2 linked regions of the Styela clava genome follow. The protein of the gene in region 1 purifies or fractionates together with the protein of each later gene. This does not show direct contact. Links are inferred from orthologs where the notes say so. Each region holds a gene or a part of one and is shown in the gene's direction. Other genes may lie near its edges.

Region 1 (7,351 bases):
CAATAGAATTGTTTCCTGCGCTTATTTTCACAATTGAGTTGCATCAAATTGCTTCAGTCCTAAGGGGATGGTTGGTCAATACCGAATAGTTCACTATTTCGAATACATTCGAAAATAAAATAATTGAGGCTTATCTATAGTAGCCTATATAAAGGAATTTGCATACAATAAACAATGGAATAACTGTCATCAACAACATGTTGTCTACCATGCATTTCATGTTTGCAGATTACTGCTATATATTTTCATATACCATGAGTTACGTTATCAGAATCAAATTAATACGGCAAGCATTTAAAATAGTGCTATCGGTCATGGATTTGAACATTTTGCGCAACACAAAATCATCCTAAAAAGTTTGAATACCAACCATTATCCAAATTATTTGCCAAAAAGCGGTATAAAGTATAAATTATATTTCTGATTTGCGACAATTTTTTCGTGAGTACGTAAACACGAATGAAAAATTAATTATATTCGGGCACTTCAATGTCCGCATATATATCTTTTATTATTTTATAAATACGAAAATATGAATCAAAAACTAATTATAATCGGGCAGTTTACCACACATTTTCAAGTCCATGGATCGCCGTTGTATTTTGTATATACGAAAATAGGAATCAAAAAATAAATAACAATCGCGCAGTTGGCCACACATCTATGTACATAGATTGCCGTGGTATTGTGCCCGAATATAATTAATTTTTGATTCCGTATTCCATTCCTTAAACTTAATATCTGTTTTTAAAATTTTGCAAGCAGTTCACGCACGAAGACTTGAAATAATGATGTATTAGTCAAATTGAAGTCCTGTTAGACCACTGTTTCTTAACCAATGTGCCATGGCCCACTGGTAAGCCTCAGAGCCATTTTGAGGCGGGCCACAAACATATTATAAATTACAAGATTTGTTGATTGGAAAAATTGATTTGATAACAAAATCAGCTTCACGCGTCTTGAAAAACAAGATATCTATTTGCAAAACATGCCTCGCCGTAACCCACCCATTGTGGCGCAACAAATCCATTATACGGCAGTAACAGCTAGAAATGAGTATATATATATAGCAATTTGCTTGCACATTACATCAAAATTAAAAACAATATAACGAGAATGTCATGGCCTTCAATATTCGCCAGGCTCGAACTGAGAATACCATATAAAAAATTAACATAAAACGAATCCACGAGGACATTGTCTCATAAATATTAAACTAATATAATAAATTTTCTTCACTATCCGTCGGAAGAAATTTCATCCACTTCGTCTTTTTAGTTTTCAGCTTTATAGTGACTTCAACCACATCAACACCCGTCGGAAGAAATTTCATCCACTTCTTCCTTTTAGTGTTCAGCTTTTTAGTGACTTCAACCACATCAACACCCGTCGGGAGAAATTTCATCCACTTCTTCCTTTTAGTGTTCAGCTTTTTAGTGACTTCAACCACATCAACACCCGTCGGGAGAAATTTCATCCACTTCTTCCTTTTAGTGTTCAGCTTTTTAGTGACCTCGGCCACCTCACCACCCGTCGGAAGAAATATCATCCACTTCTTCCTTTCAGTGTTCAGCTTTTTAGTGACTTCAACCACATCAACACCCGTCGGGAGAAATTTCATCCACTTCTTCCTTTTAGTGTTCAGCTTTTTAGTGACTTCAACCACATCAACACCCGTCGGGAGAAATTTCATCCACTTCTTCCTTTTAGTGTTCAGCTTTTTAGTGACTTCAACCACATCAACACCCGTCGGGAGAAATTTCCTCCACTTCTTCCTTTTAGTGTTCAGCTTTTTAGTGACCTCGGCAACCTCACCACCCGTCGGAAGAAATATCATCCACTTCTTCCTTTCAGTGTTCAGCTTTTTGTTGACTTCAACCACATCAACACCCGTCGGGAGAAATTTCATCCACTTCTTCCTTTCAGTGTTCAGCTTTTTAGTGACTTCAAGCACATCAACACCCGTCGGAAGAAATTTCATCCACTTCTTCCTTTCAGTGTTCAGCTTTTTAGTGACTTCAACCACATCAACACCCGTCGGGAGAAATTTCATCCCCTTCTTCCTTTTAGTGTTCAGCTTTTTAGTGACCTCGGCCACCTCACCACTCGTCGGAAGAAATATCATCCACTTCTTCCTTTCAGTGTTCAGCTTTTTAGTGACTTCAACCACATCAACACCCGTCGGGAGAAATTTCATCCACTTCTACCTTTTAGTGTTCAGCTTTTTAGTGACCTCAGCCACCTCACCACCTGTAGTAGAAAAATTTCATCCACTTCTTCCTTTTAGTGTTCAGCTTTTTAGTGACTTCAACCACATCAACACCCGTCGGGAGAAATTTCATCCACTTCTTCCTTTTAGTGTTCAGCTTTTTAGTGACTTCAACCACATCAACACCCGTCGGGAGAAATTTCCTCCACTTCTTCCTTTTAGTGTTCAGCTTTTTAGTGACCTCGGCAACCTCACCACCCGTCGGAAGAAATATCATCCACTTCTTCCTTTCAGTGTTCAGCTTTTTAGTGACTTCAACCACATCAACACCCGTCGGGAGAAATTTCATCCACTTCTTCCTTTTAGTGTTCAGCTTTTTAGTGACTTCAACCACATCAACACCCGTCGGAAGAAATTTCATCCACTTCTTCCTTTCAGTGTTCAGCTTTTTAGTGACTTCAACTATCTCATTATTCGTCGGAAGAAATTTCATCCACTTCTTCCTTTTAGTGTTCATCTTTTTAGTGACTTCAACCGCTTCAACCACCTCATTATTCGTCGGAAGAAATTTCATCCACTTCTTCCTTTTAGTGTTCAGCTTTTTAGTGGTTTCAGCCACCTCGGAAGAAATTTCTTCCACTTCTTCGTTTTAGTGTTCAGCCTTTTAGTGTTTTTCAATTTTTCACCTTTGGGAACACATCAACTTCCGTTTTTCCGCCACTTCATCCGTTTCTTCCTTCAGCCTTTTAGTGTTGTCCCTGTTTTGTGCAGCTGCTGCAGACGCCGTTACATCTGTACATACGTCAGTACGTAGACAGAGCAGAATTTGGACCCGTCGACACTTTAACATTAATGTCTAACATCAGAACTTCCAGACTTCGGCGATGTCCGAATAATTTTGTAATAAATTAACAGAGTACCGGTATTGCTATTTGCTGTCAGTACTGCTGTACTGCTGCAGTAAGGATAATTTTTGAAAATTAGATTCAGTAGATTGGAAAATTTAGAAACCTGTTAATTATTATTTTTTATTCAAGACTGTAAATATAAAAATTCCCCATTCTGCAGTTATGCCATTTCACCATTTGCAGGTTTGTGCTGTGCATTGCTTATGTCAGTATGTTAAGATTTTTCCGGTAAATAATTTTATTATGATTACGGGATTATTTGAGATTTAAACCATATTTCAAATATATTCTTGCAATATCAGGTCACCATATTTATGGCTGTACGCATCGGAATTTAATTTCATGCACAGCATACGATACAGTTGCCATTTTTAAAGATTTATATGAAAGTTTGCTCAAAGCAAGGCCATGACAGCTTGAGTAGAGTGATAAGTTTCAGAACGTCAAATCAATTTTTTAAAACTCACCTACATCCTACCTACTGAAATAAATAAACCAAAAAACAAGGGACAATCCTGCAATCGCAAAATAAAGATGGTTTGGAACTGTACAACATTGATTAAAGCATCCCTTCTAAAGCAAGTTGGATCAATCCTATCGCCTTGGCATATGTAATCTTCCGATCTTGGGTTTATTACCTTGATATGGGTTAAAATTACTATTTAGAGGGATGCTCCACTGTTTTTTAAGCAATTTCTTGCCAATTGAATTGTTTGAAACGAATATGTTCTGAGTTCTCGTATAGTATCATTTTTATAACATTATTAGTTACGGTAGGTATTTCTGAATATTTTGGGTACTGATATAGCCAACAAATTTGTGTAATATCAGAATTTCGCATGCTGTCGATTTCGAGGGTCAATTTGTGATGAAAATGCTTACTGCACAATGTTTAATTTATGTGGCATGATACTATCAGAGGTTTGTTCTTTAATAGAGGCTTCCGATGCAGCCATTTCATGCATATTTCATAATTCTAACTATGTGCATTGATTAGTATATATATATTTTTTTATATTATTCTTATCATTCAACTTAACAAAATGGTGGTATATCAAACATGACACTGTGTAACATAATTTTTGTTCCTGGCTTGTAATTGGTTACACCCAAAACTGAAAAAAATGCAATTTTTTTTAATTTTGAGATAGATACCTAGGACCTCAAATAGCATTCAAAAAAGAATATATAGAATGTGACAGAAGCAACATCAATCCTTTCTGAAAAAGAATGTCTGTCTTGATGACATATTCAATGCACAGTGATCTCGACAAATCTGGCGAATTTCACTGTTTTCAGATGAAAGGTCTACATAGAACTGAATTTATCAGCGGTAAATGCGACATAAATTGGGACCCTACAACTGGTCACTTCACAACTAAATTTTGATGTCAATGTTGCATTTGAAAATTGCCCTTTTGACACACACCTATCGTGGCATAATTGGATTTTAAATGTTTCTTACCAATGACAGTATAATGAGCAAAGGATGGGTGACTACATATGGGGACTTAGTTGTGGAATAGTGGTGTGGTGTCTGGCAAAAAAAAACATTTTTCTGGTTACCAAACAGTCGTTTAACATGTGCTTGTGTTATTTTTTTCAAGATTTCTAACATAGAATTCCAGAAATACATCTTTGAAATATCAAAACACTGAAATATAGCACCATTTGTGCAGTTTTATATCACCCACAAAAACCTGATTTTGTTGAAATCGCCCCATTTTCACAAAACCAAAAGTCTGTACTGTACATATTAAATGCTAGCAGGAAATCCAGGTAAAAAGCTGGGAACAAAAAATTGTTACGCAGTGTAGGCCCCATCAAATCAAAACTTCTGATTAAAAGCCTTTTCTTCAGAAAAAATTTGACTCCATAGCGTGGCTGTATATCGCCCTTCCCCAATTGATAGGATAGGATTACATATTTATTCCGAGGGGGAGGAAAGCCGATTAGAAGGCTTAATCATATGGCAAAACACGGCCTCTGGTCCGGTTACCAGTTCATGTCGAGTTTGGGATTAGTTAGCCAGTTGAGTTGTTTTTAGATGCATTGACTTGATCGTGGAGGAAGCCTAGCCGAGCAGCGGTTTCGGGAACCGCCCTATGGCAGCGAGAAGCCCAGTAATCCTTTTGCACTCGCATGGGATTCGATTATCAAAAACGCATTCTGATAGTGCCCAAAATTTTTAAAGTAAAATACTATCTAGGGCAGGGGTGGGCAAATTACGGCTCGCATGCCGGATGACCATACTTTTATACACATAAATTTTCATTGAAAATATTGATGAAAATCGCACATGATGACCTTGATTGTTAGTTGTTACGTCGTGCTTCATATTGTTATATAAATGTTGGACTAGCTTTTGTAAATAAAATGTTATTTATTCATAGTTTTTCATATTGAGTTTTATGCATCCAGCCCACTAACCTATTAATTCTAGTTTTTGTATCTAGCCCTTCAGGATAGTAATTGCTCACCCTTGATCTAGCTAGGGGGTCTAGTCCCGTTTAACAAGTGTTTTTATTCGAATATTTATGCAGAATGCAGTGTTTTGCTAAATTCTACTTTTTTGAAAACGACTAATATGTCGTAAGCACCACCCGATTGCGTATGATCCAGTACACCAATGTAAGAAAAATGTTCATACTAAAAATCGCTGTGTGTCGCCCTCGAGTAGTCAGGAATTTGGGACGCGAGATGCTCGCAATACATATACGTGCTTTGTTTATATATTTTACATGATTTCGCTTTTTCATTGATCTCTTCCCAGACTATTTAAACTGTGACTAAACAGAAACCAGCACAATGTCAGAAGAGCTAGACACGTTAGGAGTTCTACCGGAGATTGATAGTGAAGGCAACCTGATGAAGCGGTTCAAGAGAGCCCTCTCCATGGAGATCATGCTTGGCCAAGCGCATATCTTCGTAGTTCTTGGAGCTTCGGTACAGATGTTAATTTTTTTATATATTTTCGCAAAAACTAACGACTTATTTTGTTCATTGACGCACTGTTCCTGCGCGTTCGCCCGAGATAATTACATTTCACTGGAATTTGCGTCATGGCGAAATTTTACCATGACACATAAGTATTGGATATCGATGTTATTGTATACGTTGCAGTCAAAGTTAAAATGTATGTTTTTGGCGAATCATCATGCTAAAGTTTATGGTGTTAAAATTGGCATCACGATCATTTCCCGTTATGAATCAATGCAATAGTAATCGAACACAAAGGAAATGAGAATGTCAGAAATAATGGTCTAGCTAGCTTACTGCGACGCTCGGTTGCAATAGTCTTTCATTTTCTTTACCTCATATATTGCATTGGTAGCTACTTAATGTTCAGCGAATTTCGCAATAGTCTTACTATAACTATTAATCACTTGAAATGATATGGATCGAACAAAGCCTGAATATACCTAAACAAATAATAACGGATTTTTTGGATAACTCAATTTCACACAAGGCTGGGTAGGTTATTTAAACCTGGGGTATTTGCGAAATCGGCTTATGACAAATTACCGTGGGCTATTACAGAGTCGTTCTCCGTATCTGGAAATATTATCTCACCTAATTCTTGCCTGGATATCCTCTATTCAATATATGATCAGGTAATTCGTTATGAGCCGAAAATATACTCAAAATTTGTCATTGTTTCGAAATTCATTTTCAATTTGTATTCAACTTATTAAAATATTGTTGAATGGGAGTTCTATTCTAAGGTCCGACAAGACCTGCAGCCGCTTTAGAAAATAACCGAAATAATGGCGAAAAGGGGAAAGTTGGCGAATGGTGAAATACTATTTCCGTTATATCGTGTAAAGCCAGTATGTAGAAGTTATACATAATAGCGGTGTAAGGCTTACACACGTTTTTTGCCAGTCATTTCTCATACACTTAGTCTAAGATATATATGGCATGCTAATGTTTGGTACGACGATTTGAACAAATATCAAATTTCCCGAAAGTATACGCCCCACGCATGAGATAGCTATAATAATCGCTTCTATATAATTGTTAAAATTAATCTTTTTGTGTGACGTGTAATTCGAGGAGACCCAGGGACAGTCTTAATAAAATATTGCTCTTATGTTGTTGAAATTGAATCCCGATAGAAGTTCGCGATTTTTTTTACCTATGTCAAGCTTGTTCGAGTCTTGATGCTAAAATCACATGGCCACGACGACGGCGTTATTTTCGTTAAACATATTTTGATCGGGCGACTATTTAT
Region 2 (6,995 bases), on another chromosome or scaffold:
GAATTCGTTATCGTTGTTAGAAAGATCTGGTATGAAATCCCGGAAAGTATATTTAATTTAGTATAATGAAAATATATAAAGTATATTAGTAAATCAAAAATACATATATATTCATTGCCCCGAAATCCCCGCAGTACGGCTTCTGAGTCAGTCGTCGAGTCTAGATTACGCCACTCGTAAAAAGAGCCGACTTTTATGTACGGTAATGGTTTTTCTGTTGAATAAAATATTCAATCCATGATCTATATTCATATTTAAAATGGTTACTCTATTTATGTAATTGTGATAAACTGAATCTGCGATTGCGTCGATAAAATAAAAGCACCACTTACCCAAAATACAACAGCAATCCGCGGACATAAAAATGTGTAGCAAAGTGCCCGATTACATTTGGTTCCGTATTCTTGCGCATTAGACCAATATGAGCTGTCCCCGCAACTCCCACTCTGCTCCATCGCAATGCTGCCACTCGATTAATTTTAAGATATCACCGTTCTAGAAATTCCTAAGTGTGCGATAAAATCCAACAGAGTAAAACTTATTTCAAGTCGGTAGTCTTAGAACACTACAGGCACGAGGAATTTATGAGATTTGCAATGTCTAAGAAAAAGAGTTTTTAAACTGTCATGGTCCACCCCAAAACAAAACTCACGGTGTTTACCGTTTCCTGATTCAGGGGGAATAAACACCGAAATAAATATTTGAACCGCCTAAATAACATGTCACGCTGACGAAAACAATCGGAGATTTAAACAAAATTCAATTGCAAACGTTATTAGCGACTTTATTTTCCAGCGGTCAAAGGCCGGGGAAAAGTTCACATGCCTAATACCTATCAAAAAATGAACTGCTTTTCTTTATGCTAAAAATGTACACAAACTCATTTGCACTCCTTCACAATTTTTAAACTGTATTTTTGAACCTGGTGGTTGTTCAAAGGTATTGGTAGTGAATTTTGGAGACGTCAGGCCAACCAAGAAATCTGTAATTGTTGTGTATTTTAAACAAAAATAATATAATCTCTTTCCACGAAATATCAAGTATATTTATGAGCGAATTATTCGCTATTTGATTAAGCCATATCTTGTTTTATCTGAAGAAGTTAGACTATGATCTAACGAAAGCTCATAAATATACTTGATATTTCGTGGAAAGAGATAATGTTATTTTTATTTATCTTCATAATACTATCTCAGTCACGCATCCTTGTGGCAACAGCCACATACGGATCCGGAATAGAAAGTAAACAAGGAGAAAGGACCTGTAGTTCAATACACAATACCCTAGTACACCCCATTTTTTAAACACACAGTAAATAATTTTTGCATTGTTCAATAGTGATGAAGTAAACAATTGATTGAAGTTTTACGTGTCTTGTTTAAAATATTATTTAGGCAGAAAATACATTAAAGCGCAAAAACCATACACTTATTGCTTGTTTAGTTTTACCTAAAACTTAGTTTGGCTGTACCAGGTATTGCAGACTGAGCGGGAAAAGGAGAATGTATTTGAGTATGGCTTTATACGTATACGACTGTGAATGGCGAAGTTGTACTCCGATGCGTTTTATGCCTAAACAATCTGAGCAATGACGCTATGAGACCAACACTTACAGCGCCATGGTAATATAAATTAACCTGCCCATTACAAAAGCATTTTTTCAAAGCAAAAAGGGGGGCGCGATGTCTGTAAAATGTTTCGAAGGGGGCGCGGCTCAAAAACTTTAAGAACCACTGGTGTAGGGTAATAGATACTCCTATAGATATACCATCAAAAGACTCTCGCTTAAACTGCTACTAGGTAGCTTGGAAGTTTTAGGGGTTTTTCGATTACGCCAATACTGCTATCAATTTTAAATACCCCAAAACCAATACATGACTTAGAATCTTAGATAAACTAATTGCATTATGTCCATCGCTAGCTCGATGCATATGGTTACAAAGCAAACTGTGTCGTCTCAATGTGTTCAGTATCTCCTTTGCAAACGACGAGCGATTTAATGTAAATTTAATAGCTCACCCTACTTGTCGACCGGGCAGAAAGATTTTTCAGCTGCACGTTTTTTCCTAATGGCCCATTTTCAAATTTATTTGAATGTATTGGGTTGGGATGAAAGGGTGGATTATAGGGCCTGTTAACCCCCTCGTCACAGGCATATTTATACCGATTGAAGAGAGAGAGAGATTTATTATTTGACAAATATTATTTGGAACAGAATCATTCGATGAATCAAGCCATCTCTACAGCAGCGGTATATAAGCCAAAAATATTATATAGTTATATAGTGGGACCGGTATGTTAGTCGTTGAGTGGGACCAACGACTAACATACCGTGGGACTTACCGGCATTTATTTGTATTACTTTATTAGTTGTGCTGTTATAGTATTTAGTAGAATAAGTAGATCATATAACTCAGAAATTTGGCGAGTCCAGTTTAAAATAGTTTATTGCTCGGTTTGCCCCTTAAAAGAAATTTCCTTTCAAATTTTCGTATTGCGCTATTTAGAAACTGTATTGCGATGTAGAATATGGAGGATATTGATTGCCGGACTTTAATTTTGTACCGGACAACTTCAGTTTTTCTTCTTTGTGGCAACTGACTCCGATGACCCCTAAAGGTCATATCGTATCTCTTCAGTCATGTACCGAAAGCATCTGTTTATTTGATAGTTTTATATACTATAGGGCAACAAAGATTCGACCCTATCTGCGTGTCCACACACCCGTGTTATTGAACACACGTTAACAGAGTGTAACTCCGATCTTGACTCCTTCAGAGGTCAAAAAGCACACAATGTATTGAATGCCAAATGTTATATTGTAAAGTTGCACAATCGAATTGATCCAAATAACGAATTACACTTGAAACCCCTAAAGCAAGTATATGTGATGAAACCAAATTTCTAACTAACAAATAACGGCAAAGACAAGCTACACTGAGTGAGAGAAATATATCATAAAGGAAATGAATTGGGACAACGACCTTGTTTCAGGCAAATAACATGCACTACTAACAATAAGTGGTGAAAATATTAAAATACACAGTAACTATCCTTATGTACTTGCTACAATACCGGTGTGTGAAATATTTCAATTATTTTAGGTGAGTGAACACGTACCACATCTTCTTGGCAAAACCTTCCATCTTATATACATTCTGTACGTTTTAAACCTTATCTAAGGCTTTGTTCGCTCTCCTGATTTCATAATCAGTTTTTATTTATTTTTAGCATTCATTTTATTGTTTTGCTGATTATGGAGTCGAAATAAACTTATACTTATTATACTTATATATGTATGTTGTTTCTTGGTTTGGCAAAATGAAATAAACTCTCTCTCTTTCCAATATGGCACGAAGGAAAAGCAGATTTAGCAACCAATTTCTTACATTACTATGATACGTTGGCTTGATTAGATTTTATCCGGCGGTATTATCTTCTACTCGAACCAAAGGTCGCCAACAAGACTTGAAGTCGTATAACAACAAATTGATCTATAATAAGTCCTTGGTGGTATTTGATATCCTTGTTATTAGCACCTTCGATCTAGTAATGCTCAATTGAAAACAAGTACTACTCCGGAATGCACCCGGTTGGCACTTCGATCATTTCTTGAAGTCGCCAGATGTGGGCAACATTTGTCCCGCATTCCGAAGCGATAAAGTTATCTTCTGCCCAATCTTGGCGGAGTAATACAGTATGCGATAGCACATACTCCAAAGATAGAGTCACGGCTTTAATTAAGGAAACAAGCGCATACAAGGTGACAGCTGCGAATGCCCTCGACAAAATGCCGTCACAAGTCGAACATCGTCTCTGCGACATGTCAAATACGCGACAGACGAGTGATTGCCAACTCCCAAATTGGGATAAAAGAGCGATGGAATCTTCCCCCGCTTTAGAATATAAGATGAAATAGCGCAAGAAACTCATACCTGTGAATAAGTTTACAAATTTCACCTCAGCTACATACTGCCAGACAAAGTGTATGGAAGCGAGTTATTACGATCGGGATATTCAGGAAAGATAATATTAATGACCAGTTTTTAAGTTTGATCTTTGAATAGTGGAACGCGCAACGAATAAGTAAACCAGATGTAGATGAGGCAATGGGACTATTTTGGGATCAAGTAAAGGGGGTGCTGGATCGATAAAATGCCGCTCTAGCTTCTGTATCCAGTAATTGGGATAGTGGGGCTTAGTGTAAAAATTTATTATTCCGCAGATCGAATATAATGTGTACGCTTATGAAAACAGTACGAACTTATTCAGCTAGTGACTACATGGAACTGGTCAGGAATCATAAATGAGAAATTCGTGGAATTGCGCTATATTCAGGGCAGGATGTCCTCGGCATCTTCATAATGTCCATTTTTATTAGTAGGTTGTTTATAAATAAATAACGATGGCTGAAAGACAAAGAACAGAACGTCGAATTCATATAACACCATACAGACCAACCCCGTGGGAACCGTTTCAAGACTGGACGTTTCCCGCTACAACTATTTGGGACCAAGTGAGTCTTACTTTTTAGTATTTAATTTTCTATGCAGTACGTGTTGAAGATAACGACTTTACAATAAATTTTTGTATTGAGACAGGTTCATTTTTATACTCTAAGTCTAATAGATCACAAAAAATAAATTTCTTGAAATATTTTTCAAATTATTTTTGAATGTCAGACAATTACATAAAATTGTCTCTGTATAATCCCGGATAATATTCAATAAAATCTATATTATATATTCTGGACTTTTTCACATTAGTCACAAATCACTTTTCTATTTCGGATATAATGGGTTGAAAAACTCATCCTTATCTTTTGCCCAGAGAACGGATTGCAACTGTTAATTAATTATTAGTAAATAATCAAATTTTATATTATCCTTAGTACTTATTTTGTGCTATGTTTGCTGCTTATATCTGTATATTGTTGCATGTGTTGCTATTCTCGTTCTTTTCATATTTTATGCATGTTGAATGTAACTACTACGTTTGAGATTTCGAAGAGGAGTTTTTTATTAACATCATTATTTCACTATTTTAAATCATGACACGTTTCTGTAAAATGCCAACCGATACAGACGTCAGTACTTCAGTCAGAAGTATGCCAGACGAATTCTTCGCAGGTTGGATTCATAGGCCACAGCACTGTTGAAAAGATGTGGTGGTAGCCGAAAAGTCTAATGTGATTATATCCAGTAACTTAGGATGTTACGATTGGAGAATAGTTTTGAAATAAATTTATGATTTATATACGGTATAAATATGCAGTCTTTTCTTAAAAGGCCATTTAAATGGCGATTTGGACCATAACTTGAGATACGTTATTCTGTATTTTGCTTATATGCAAATTTAAAATGATACGGATAAATGGCATAGGACACCATTGGTACGAGGAATTCGTAGTAGAGCCTTTTTATTAATTTTATTATTCAACTCACTTTGACTCTTCACTGCTCTCGGTACATGTATCACCAATTGCAAATATAATTTTATCTTCTGCTGCCGCTATGTGATCACTGAACACTCACAGATTATATTTATTGGGCAAGGCACAAGTCAGCAAAGATCTTCAATCTAAATTATTAAATCTCATAAGCTTGATTATCACACATTAAGCATTATGATGATACACTCCAATGTCATGCTCGATTCATGTTTTCTGCGCTGACTTCACAAGTCAACTACGGTACGTCATCAGTTTTCTTTCACGGTTACCATCCAGTCACGCACGCCTTTACCAGTTTTTCGTCGACTTCACTTAGTTCGCTTGAATATAACCAGACATGCACTTTGAATACAGGATTTTGGCGGAATGCCAATGACTAACAGTGTGCGAAGTGAGCATCGTCAGAGATTGGTCCGAGGTGGGGGTGATCCATGGGCTTCTTCGGCGACTGCTTCCGTTCCGTATGTTGTCAGATCTCCGGCTGCCGTCCAACCTACTGCTCCGCAACTTGTCAACCGACAGAATAGTGGTGGAGTTTCTCAAGTAAGGCGATTCTAGGATATAGGTTTTTACGCATCTGCTGCGAAGAGTCGATTACTAAATATGATCAATGATAATTGTGCGAATAGATGGGCGAATTTTTGTCTAATATAATATTTTGGATCTTTCATACAAAGCACCACTAATGCAAAAATGTGAGATTTGAGAAAACACCCATTCACGTTTTTTAAAACAACAAATTAGTAAATATCCAGTTGGGGTTAGGGTCGGAAATGATTTGAATTGACAGCGCAATCTGTATCCCTATCCCTAACTGAATATTTATTAATTCTCTTATTTGGAGCGCTGGCGAGGGTGTATTTTTTATGGCGGGTGCTTTGTAAAAAATGTCTTTATATTTTTATAATGTCATGTTATTTGGTAAGTGTTTACTAAATATTTATGCTAGATTGCATGAGATCTGTCTTGATTTTAGAATGGTATACAGGGTTTCCGCATTGTTGCATAAACGTGTTGTCTAATGGATTGTTTGGCTTGAGTTTGAATTATGAAAGATTTTGGGTTCTATTGAAGTATGGCTACCAAGATGGCGGACACCGAAACGTAGTATGTGTACCAGGTTAAGGTTAGGCCATAATTTAATTCCAATTTTCCTTATTTTAGTTCTATTACGAGTTCGGGGACTAGATAAGTTGTACCTGAAATTATTGCCTAACCCTAACCTGGTACACATACTACGTTCCGGTGTCCGCCATCTTGATACGCATACCTCAGAAGTACCAGATTTTGTAATGTTTAACCGGAAGCCCGCAACGCGGCATAATCATAGGATGAACCAAGAACTTCCCCCTGCTGGCAGTCGAGGTCGGTTATTTGATAATCAAGTGAGCCGTTTTGCGAAACGCCGAGGAATCCAGCAATCTTCCACATAACTAACCATCTCCCAAGAGGGCCCAGTTTGTGAATCCGCGTATGGTAGTCTGCGATGCGATATATATAAAGCGGATTCCTTACTCTTAACACAATGCCAAGCCAAGTTGTA

The links. The genes of interacting proteins can lie anywhere in the genome.
Region 2: the proteins of glucose-6-phosphate 1-dehydrogenase-like (region 1) and heat shock protein beta-1-like fractionate together in Homo sapiens (co-fractionation; 3 studies listed by BioGRID and IntAct, with this or other methods). This does not show direct contact. The link is inferred for Styela clava from reciprocal best matches to the Homo sapiens genes G6PD and HSPB1.

The regions. Positions count from the first base shown.
Region 1 is NC_135258.1:19,449,662-19,457,012, forward strand, and holds the start of glucose-6-phosphate 1-dehydrogenase-like, read left to right. Parts: upstream 1-4,257; 5' UTR 4,258-4,450; intron 4,451-5,890; 5' UTR 5,891-5,925; coding exon 5,926-6,063; intron 6,064-7,351. UniProt on the Homo sapiens protein: Catalyzes the rate-limiting step of the oxidative pentose-phosphate pathway, which represents a route for the dissimilation of carbohydrates besides glycolysis.
Region 2 is NC_135252.1:17,838,509-17,845,503, reverse strand, and holds the start of heat shock protein beta-1-like, read left to right. Parts: upstream 1-3,938; 5' UTR 3,939-4,405; coding exon 4,406-4,516; intron 4,517-5,806; coding exon 5,807-5,995; intron 5,996-6,995. UniProt on the Homo sapiens protein: Small heat shock protein which functions as a molecular chaperone probably maintaining denatured proteins in a folding-competent state. Plays a role in stress resistance and actin organization.